Drosophila melanogaster: one gene and its partner. The protein of the gene in region 2 interacts with the protein of the main gene of each other region in a pairwise test. Each region holds a gene or a part of one and is shown on either strand. Other genes may lie near its edges.

The links.
Region 1: the proteins of CHOp24 (region 2) and HGTX interact in a two-hybrid assay, tested with the Drosophila melanogaster proteins (one large-scale study listed by BioGRID).

What each region holds. Positions count from the first base shown.
Region 1 is NT_037436.4:14,596,293-14,601,447, reverse strand, and holds the start of HGTX (HGTX), read left to right. Parts: upstream 1-1,907; 5' UTR 1,908-2,512; coding exon of another isoform or gene 2,513-2,734; coding exon 2,735-3,662; intron 3,663-5,155.
Region 2 is NC_004354.4:4,538,732-4,543,108, reverse strand, and holds CHOp24 (CHOp24), read right to left. Parts: upstream 2,202-4,377; 5' UTR 2,107-2,201; coding exon 1,965-2,106; intron 1,893-1,964; coding exon 1,558-1,892; intron 1,203-1,557; coding exon 1,053-1,202; 3' UTR 603-1,052; downstream 1-602. Other genes in the region: CG3568 (uncharacterized protein), read right to left, coding at 1-131, 197-406; rb (ruby), read left to right, coding at 2,804-3,445, 3,506-4,334.

The DNA of each region.
Region 1 (5,155 bases), on a different chromosome or scaffold from region 2:
AACCAAGTTTTTAGTGTCTTGTTAGATTTTTTGTGGGGCCGAAATTTATGAACACTGTAAATATACTGTAAAAAAGACTTGATGGATTTAGTTATGAATTTATAAAATATTATTTTTTTTCTTAAGGGTATGTATTATTATGTTTTTCTTGTATTTAAAGTTGTCTTAAAAAAAATGTAGTGACAAACGACTTATATTGATAATATAAATCTTACAATTAACTTTTTCGTTTTTAAACAAATTCAATAGTTTTTATATTAAAGCTGAATGCTTACAGGCAACCTTAAAATTTAAAGTGTAAATTTTTCAATATTTTTCGTTAAAGATCTGTTAACTACGATGAAAGAAAATTCTATGACATGTTTTCTGCCACGCATAAATTTATGGGGAATTGTTTCAGATCAAAGCAAAAGATGAGGGCTGCTTAGACGAACTACGAAAGGAGAGACGAATGGATGGGTAAGGCTTCCAGGAGTATTTAAGGTCTTCATTTTTATGGGTCGGCAAAGTCAATTAAATAAAGAACACAGTCGAAAATCAACAAGCTGTGGTGGAAATGACCAGCAAAAGATAGAGATACTCACTCAACGGTTGAGTGAATTCGCTCCTTCATACTTTCACTCACATTCATTCACAATGGCGGTCCAAGTTCTCTCTCCCTTTCTCATTTTAGTGGGCGTGGCCTTGCCCTCTATTCCACATCCCATTTCATTCCTATGAGATCTCACCGTTTTGTCTGAGTAAATTAAAATTGTGTGTAGTTTATTATTAAATGAAGCGCATTTTTGTATTTGTATGTGGACCACCCGTCTGCCTGTCAGAGTATGTGTGTGTGTGTGTAACACCAGCAACAGCGGTATTTTTATATAGATAAACATAAATATAATTCGTTGGCCGTCGGTGGGTTAACAATCCTCCGGCCCACCGACGGGCACATAATAATATTAAAATGTTAATTAGCGTATTAATTCAGTTCGGTGATGAAAGTGTGAGCGGTACAAAACGTGATACATACATATATATGTTGGTATGCTGTGCTGGGACTCACATTTCTGAAAATAATTTATAAGATAATCTAGAAAAAGGTGTCTTTGGTATATGGTTAAAAAAAATCCTTAAAATATAGAGTAATTAAAAAATAAAACTATATAGGCATATTCTTTACAGTTCGCGAATTAATAACATTTCACATATTTATGTTATATTACTTAAGTACAGAATTTTGTATTAAATTAATTACAAACAAACATTTAAAAAAAGTGTTGAAATACTTCTACTTTAACCTATAGTTTCTCGTTTACATTTATAGCTCTCATTTATCGCCAGCGCAATTTTTAATTATTTAAATGAATAAGTCCAACGAAAAAAGCTGCCAGCTTCGTCTCAATATTTATAGCTTTTTAAACAAATAAACGGAATTCGCAGTCGACAAAAAGGCCACCCACAATCCAGCGACCCAGGGAAAAAGCCATGAAAATGCACTCAGCCTCAAGGAAACAGTTGGCCAGAAAAGGACAGATGGTGGTGCAAGCGAGACAAAGCACACCAAGAGTGCCAGGATAAGTTCCCGTTTCAGTCCCAGGCTCCAATCCGAATCCGAAATAGTTGATTTTAATGATGTACATAATAAAATTCCCATTCGTTTTGTGCCAATGCCACTGCGTTCCAGTCTGCATTTCATGTTTACACTGATTGTGGAACACTCTTGTGGGCGAGAAAGAGACACATCGATATGGGGGAGCAAGACAACCATATACGACTCTCTCCCTCGCGCGCTCTAGAGATGATGCTGCGAGTGGAAGTGGAATCGGAATGCGGAGGGTTGAAAGCCGTACCCCCAACCAAAAACCGAAACTGAAATTGAAACTGAGATTGTGCGACTGAGGGCCAGTCGAGTCAATTTCGAAATCATTCGTTAGTCGTAGGCCTAAACAAGCGGACACGCGCGGGTCTTCATTCACTACGATATTTTCCGGCCACGGAGTTACCCATATAGCCTGATCTCGTTCAAATCGATTATGCCAAGTGTAGTTTCTTAAAATCTAAGAACGATTTGAACAATAAACGTTTTCGTGCTCAACCGTTTGACAAAATCGGTTTCGTGCTTGTGCTAAAAAGGATTCAAGATCATTTGATCATTTGATCTTGAATATATAGATTTACGTGTTTTAATCGTATCGTGATCGGAAAATATTAAAAACCCTATATAAATATAAATACTGCGTACATCGGAAACTGAAGTGCTGACATTATAATTGAAAACAATTCAAGCAAAATACGTAGTTAAACAAAATTTCCAAAAAATTATTAAGGAACTCAATAAGTTTTATAAGCATAAAGCAGGATATCCCCTTAAATAATTTTTTTGGTCTTAATTACATAGAAGTAATTAATCAAAAATATTTGAACAAAAAGCTGCTATTGCTTAAATACTATTTATAACCAAACTGAAAAGCCTAAATCGTTAAGATTCGATCTTCTCCGCGTGAATACCTATCCGTAGACCGATCCCAAGCTGGGTAGTCCATTCCTGAGCATTACGCCGGCGGGTGGCAGCAGCAATCCCTCGCCCACGCCTCCACCGCCAGACGCCAAGGTGGCGGCCAAGCAGCTGGCCCAGAGCTTCCAGCTGTCCGCCAATTCCGCCTTTAACTTGGCCCTTCCGCCGGCATTTTACCGAGCACCACCGCAGCAGCACCCGGAGTGCCTGGACTACGGCCACGAAGCGCCCGAGATGGATCTGATAAATCCGTATATGCGCCATCATAGTTTTGCGGCCGCCGCCCAGGGAAGTCCCCCGTCGGCGGCTCAACGTCATCATTTGGCGGCGGCCATGAGCAATGGCTTCGCGGATGTCCATGCCCATGCGATGGCGGCGGCGGACTATCAACAACAGTTGGCCGATTACCACAGTGCAGCGGCGGCAGCGGCCGTTTATGCCAACAACAATAATAATAATAACAATAATAGCAGTAACAACAACAACAGCAGTCCGCTAATGTTGCTAAAGGCGGCACATGGCGGAGGTCTCAAGGATTCGGACTCGCCATCGACGACACCGCCACCCGCCTCTTCTAGACTCCATTCTGACTCCTCGCCATCTCCGCGATACGAACACAATTCCAGTCCCGGTGTGGACAGTGCCAAGTCGTATGCCTTGAGCCAGAGGAGCAGCGGAGCGGAGGATCCATGCCAGACCAGCGAATCCGCCAGTCCACCGCCGCAGGGCCAGAACGACTACAGTCCCGAGAATCTCAGCAGCCAGAGGGCAAAGTTCCAGCACCATCATGGAGTGAACCCACTGGCTTTGCACAATGCCAACCATGCCGGAAACCCCGGATGTCACAACAACAATAACCACATGGACCACAAGCTCCCACTGAGTTTTCTCGGTCCCCCGCTGGCCGCTCTTCACTCGATGACCACGGAAATGAAGGGTCAAGGAGTCGGTGGATCGTCGGCGTCGGCAAATGGCTTGTCCTATAGCCACAGCCCGAATTCGCATTTGATCAGTGATCGCGGATCCGGTGGCAGCTCATCGTCGTCCTCCACCACGACTACGAACACCAACAGCCAGGGTGCACCCAATCCGCACGGCATCGATACCATCCTCTCCAAACCACCGCCGGTGACATCGGCGGGTCTAAGTGCTTTAACAGGAGGTGAGTAAAGGAATGGATTTAATATGGGTTGGGTTTATTATATATTATACCCTGTTATTTTATACCAATTATATTAAGGAAGAAAGTGTATAAGGCCATGATTTGGGGACTTTTAATAAATTTCGAACTTCTTAAAGATGTTTGTTAAAACACACATTTTAATAATGCATAAAATAAAATACATAAACAATGGTTCTTGTTTTTACAATTTTATTGACATAAATCTAAATTTGGAAAAATCAAAATATTCCATTTAAATTTAAGCGCTTTCCAAAAAGTTGCTATATGTGTTGCTTAATGCTGAAGAACTTTGCTCTAATTTGAACGCATAACTATTAAACTTAATTGCATAATAAAAATGAAATAATAATACGCTACCTGTTTATTTACAATTGTCTCTCCCAATTCAATGCACCTAGTCATTATGCAACACTGAAATATGTGTATATATGTACATATGTATCAGACACGAATCAATAGATATTTTGTATGCACCGAACTCAAAAAGCCAAAGAAAAAAAGAGATATATTTTAAATGCTTCAAAAACTCGTTTCGCAAACCAAACAGAAAAATAAAAAGGCAATCTCGTCGAACAAAAACGACCGAAAATTGTTGTTTTGTTTACGAATCCGGTTTGGCATGATTCCATATGATTCCATGATTCAATAAAAGCCATTCCCCAGCCCACAACCCCCCTGTCATTACGCCCCCTGGTCGCTTTACCTAATCAGGGCAATTTTGGATATTGAGCACACCGTTTTCTACGAAACCCAAAATGGTTATAATATCCAATTGCAAAATTACCACATAACGTAATGAGATACGCGTTTTAACGTTAAAATTTGCAGCAATTAGTTGTCAAATTGTTTGTAATTAAATCAAAATGACACACAAAAAACGTGGTCTATATGGAAAATAAATGGTGGAGGGGATCTGAATCTGTGACGCTGTCGTTTCACTAAAATGATTTGGTTTTTCAGCCACTCTGCGTCGCATTTTTTGTACTTTTTCACTCAAATGTAGACCAATTGTGTGACATGACAGTGGTTTGAAAGGAGGGGGCGCGGTTGACAGGGTGATGACAATTTGCCATAACATTTTTAATTATTTTTAACGAGGGCGTTTATGTGATTTGATTCGTTTATTTGGGTTTTTCTTTAAACGATTCGGTCACCAGAAACGTAACTCATTCTTTGACAAATTATTTAATGGTCTTTAATTAATTCGAACAAATTCCGTATTGTGTGTTTGAGTTCGCCATGAGTGGGCAGAAAAATTGGCTGGCTGAGAACAAATTGCGCGAAATTCTCATGAAAGGGAAATAAACTTTGGAGAGGATTAGTTAATGGGGTGGGCTTATTAAAATGATTATGCAATTCACTACACAGTATTTTGAACATACATATAGAAAAATATTACATCAGGGATAACAATATTTATATTAATATGCGAACTACTTTAAAATGGTTTGAAGTTTACGGGAAGCTAATCG
Region 2 (4,377 bases):
TGCTCTAAGAAGCTGATAAAGAGTAGGAGGGTCCGTTCGTGAATCACCGGATAGGCGGATGCGATTTGTTCCCGTATGCGGTCACTTCGATCTTCCGGCTGTGCCTTCACTCGGCAGGAATCGATGCCAAACTAATGTGGGGGGATTATATCAATGTCAGAAGACAATTTTGCGAAACCAATTCCAATGAGTATACCTCGGCGGGAGACTGCTCCGAAATAGCTTTGAAATTATCGAGATCCACCGAAGCGTCCGGCTTTGCCATTTGGCCACATTCTTGAAGCATCCGCTGAGTGAAAGCATTTTCCGGCAGATTTGTACGTTTACCAGGCCATATGATAATAGATTTTCCGCACAAACATGCCAATTTGGGACGTTGGGAGAGCATATAAAGAAAAGATCTCATCGCACTTTTTGGAGTCACTTTTAGGAGTCCGGACAAAAAAGTTCGCCGCTGATAGGAATATATGTCAACTGTCACTGGACGATCCAGTGCTGCACACCGACGTCAGATTTAATAACTTATTTCCACTGTCACATTAACTACCCAACACTCAAAAAGATTTGAAACGAATTTAATATAGCTTCTGAAAAGTTGTTTTATTTCCATTCAGATATTTCGAAATTATTATAGAATCCATTTCCATTTCGAAGTTGCAAACAAACTTTTCTCTTGTCAACCTACATTTATTAGAAAACAAATGGTTCTTATCAATTTAGTTCGAAAGTTCACAAGTGTCTCTTCCCCCCTTGAATGTGTGTCTGAAAATATTTGCTGTTCTGTTTCCATTAAGAGATATTTGGTAATTAAAAAAAAATATATATATTAATTTCTCTAATATAGCAATCTCTGTTAATAATTCTCGAAACAGAAACATGATCGACATACTTTCAAGCACTAATTACTTTTTACAAGGTATTTTATTTAAATTACAAAAGGATGTTAATCATTTAAATTAAATCTGAGACTGCAACGCATTGCGCACACATTTCCCCCAGAGCTTCGTGTGCCGCCTTCCTTTGCTACTTCCATCCTGGTTTTCCGCTCGGGATTACACGACGCGCTTGACCTCGAAGAAGCGTTTCAGGTAGTACACCTGGCCCACTGTCATCAGGACCAGGACGAGGGCTTCGAAGGTGGACCACAGCACCACTCGCGAGTTGGTGTTCTCGTTCACCGAACGATGGATCTTGTCGCGCACCTGAGGGAGTAAAGAAATTGGAGGATTAGTCGTGGATTACTTCACAAATAATGTCAATACTGATTATAACCGATGGTGAAAACATGAGTGTTTGAAAATCGCTACTAGTTATTGTTTATGTGGCAGCTAGCAGCTCCATTCCCTCGAACAAGTCTACCGACTCCGCTCTTAAATCTTGCGACGTGGATCTGTACAAGTAATGCTGGAGGCATGCCAGACTATGTGGCAATAGTTACTCGATTGCTCCCATATTCCATGTACCCCTAATTCTGCTACATGTTAAACTCTTCCAAAACCCCCAATCATGATTATGTGGCAGCTGGATGCTCCATCTTCACCTCGTCTCTTCACTCACATGCATGTACTCCTGTTCGTGCTTGACACTGGTCAGCGTGCCGGAGAGCTCCCGAATCATGTCCTCCAGCTTGGTGTGGCCCACCTCCTCCTCGCCGGGTGCTCCGGGCGCACGTTGCGGTGCGTCACCCACGTCGATGGAGAACATGACCAGCTTGGGGGTCATGCTGCTGCGTTCGTTGTTGAAGCACACGGTGTAGGTTCCCTTGGCGGGGGCCACAAAGGTGTACTTGCCGGACGACTCCTTTTCGCTCTCGTGCATCACATGGTTATCCGGGCCGCTGATCTTGATGTCCACGTCTAGGAAGCCACCGTCGATCACCTCGAAGGTGACGCCTGTAAAGTCACCATCATTTTATCAGCATAGATCCCTTGTCAATTGACCGAAAATCCATATCGCTCACGTACCAAACTTGGTGCCGCCTTCGACGTTCTCGAAGAAGCACTCCTCATTGTGGGCGTCCACGCTGACGATGAAGGCGTGGCTGGTGCGGCACAGGATCAGCAGGCTGCCCACAAGGAGCAGCACCTTGGCGAGTGTCGATTCCATCGTTTGTCTTAGTACTTTTGGCCTGGTTTTAATCGCTATTAAACGCACTGCAGCCACGTAGTTGTAGTCGATTCGATATACTCCGATAGATGTAGACAAATAGGGCATATCGAAGAACAGCAGTTTCCGATAGATTCGGCATCGATAGGTGCACGCGACACGCGATACCGAATTTTTAACGGATCACTACAAAAAACTCACAACTCATAAAAATTCAAAAGCAACATGAATGCCGCGAAATGTTTCGGTTAAAGTATTGGATATCGTAACTAATACATTACTTTATTTATGTGCGTACCTATATGAAAAACTCTTGGTGCATTCCATCACAGTTAGTTAAAGTGTTCTAGTATTTTTGTGCTATGTGTTAATCGGCGACTATCGACAGTTGCCCACCATTAGGAAACAGAAAGCTAAAAAAAAAAATGCAAAAATTGGCCAGAATTTCGGCATAAATAATAGTATCCCTTGCAAAACTTGCAAGCTGCGTGGCAGGACGAGCAGCTGACCACCAGATCGTCTTGAGGATTCAACATCAGGAACAAAGGTTTCACATTGGACGCATTTGCAAAAACCGAAAGGGAAAACTGCCAACTCCCACACACAAAAAAAAAGGAAAAAAAAAATCATCAGCACGGAAAGTAAAAGGTCAAGTGGTCAACCGAAATCTGGGTAATCCGGGGGAATCTTTGCAAGAATGCAGCAGAACTCGGCCAGCAATCCCTTCGCCATGTCCACATATGTGGAGCGGCCCCAAATGGGACTGGACGTCGAATTCGGAGCGGATCCTGCCAGCGGAGCAGCTTTCTTCCAATCCGATGGACGCAAGCATGATGATCTCAAGCAAATGTTGGACAGCAACAAGGATGGACTAAAGCTGGAGGCCATGAAGCGCATCATTGGCATGATTGCCCGCGGACGGGATGCCAGTGATCTGTTCCCGGCAGTCGTCAAGAATGTGGTGTCCAAGAATATCGAGGTCAAGAAGTTGGTCTACGTCTATTTGGTGCGATACGCCGAGGAGCAGCAGGACTTGGCCCTGCTATCCATTTCCACATTTCAGAGGGCGCTCAAGGATCCCAATCAACTTATTCGCGCCTCGGCTCTGCGAGTGTTATCCTCCATAAGGGTCAGCATGATTGTGCCAATCGTAATGCTGGCCATTCGGGATAGCGCCGCCGATTTGAGTCCATATGTGCGGAAAACAGCGGCACATGCCATCCCCAAGTTGTATTCTCTGGACGCGGATCAAAAGGATGAACTGGTCATGGTCATTGAGAAGCTTTTATCGGATCGCACTACTCTAGTGGTGGGATCAGCGGTGATGGCCTTCGACGAGGTGGGTCTGCAGCTAAAGTAAAACATTTATCCTCTATATACGACGGATCTTTATTCGTAGGTTTGTCCGGAACGTGTAGATTTGATACACAAGAACTACCGCAAGCTGTGCAATTTCCTGCTGGATGTGGACGAATGGGGTCAGGTGATCATCATTAATATGTTGACCCGCTATGCGCGCACTCAGTTCGTTGATCCCAATGCGGATGATGAGGATCTGGTCAACGATGGCCTGGGCGAAACGCCCGTTAGTGAACGCTTCTACGACGAATCCTCGCACTCCTCTTCCCACAGCGATGATGGCAGTAGCGATGACGAAAAAAACAAGTCGAGTACGAACAATAAAAACAATGGCGGAGGAAATGGCAGTAGAACACCCAGTTCTCCGAGCAACAGCTACCACATCGATGTGGATCACCGCCTGCTGTTGAGGCAAACGAAACCATTGCTCCAATCGCGAAATGCCTCCGTGGTGATGGCAGTGGCGCAGCTCTATCATCATGTGGCTCCCAAGAACGAAGTGCAATTGATTGCCAAGGCGCTGATACGACTGCTGCGATCGCATAAGGAGGTTCAGAGCGTGGTCCTCAATTGCATTGCCTCGATGTCCACCAAACGAAAGGCGATCTTTGAGCCGCACCTCAAGTCGTTCTTTGTGCGCACCAGCGATCCCACGCACATAAAGCTTCTCAAGCTGGATATTCTCACCAATCTGGCCTCGGCGGGCAGTATTTCGCTCATTCTGCGCGAATTTCAAACCTACATCTCCAGCAGCGATCGTTCGTTTGTGGCGGCCACGATTCAGGCCATTGGACGATGTGCATCTAGCATTAAGGAGGTTACCGAGACCTGCTTGAGTGGCCTGGTTCATCTGCTGTCCAATCATGACGGTGCGTTAAGCTTTCTTTTAGCCATTTGTATTTTAATTTTATA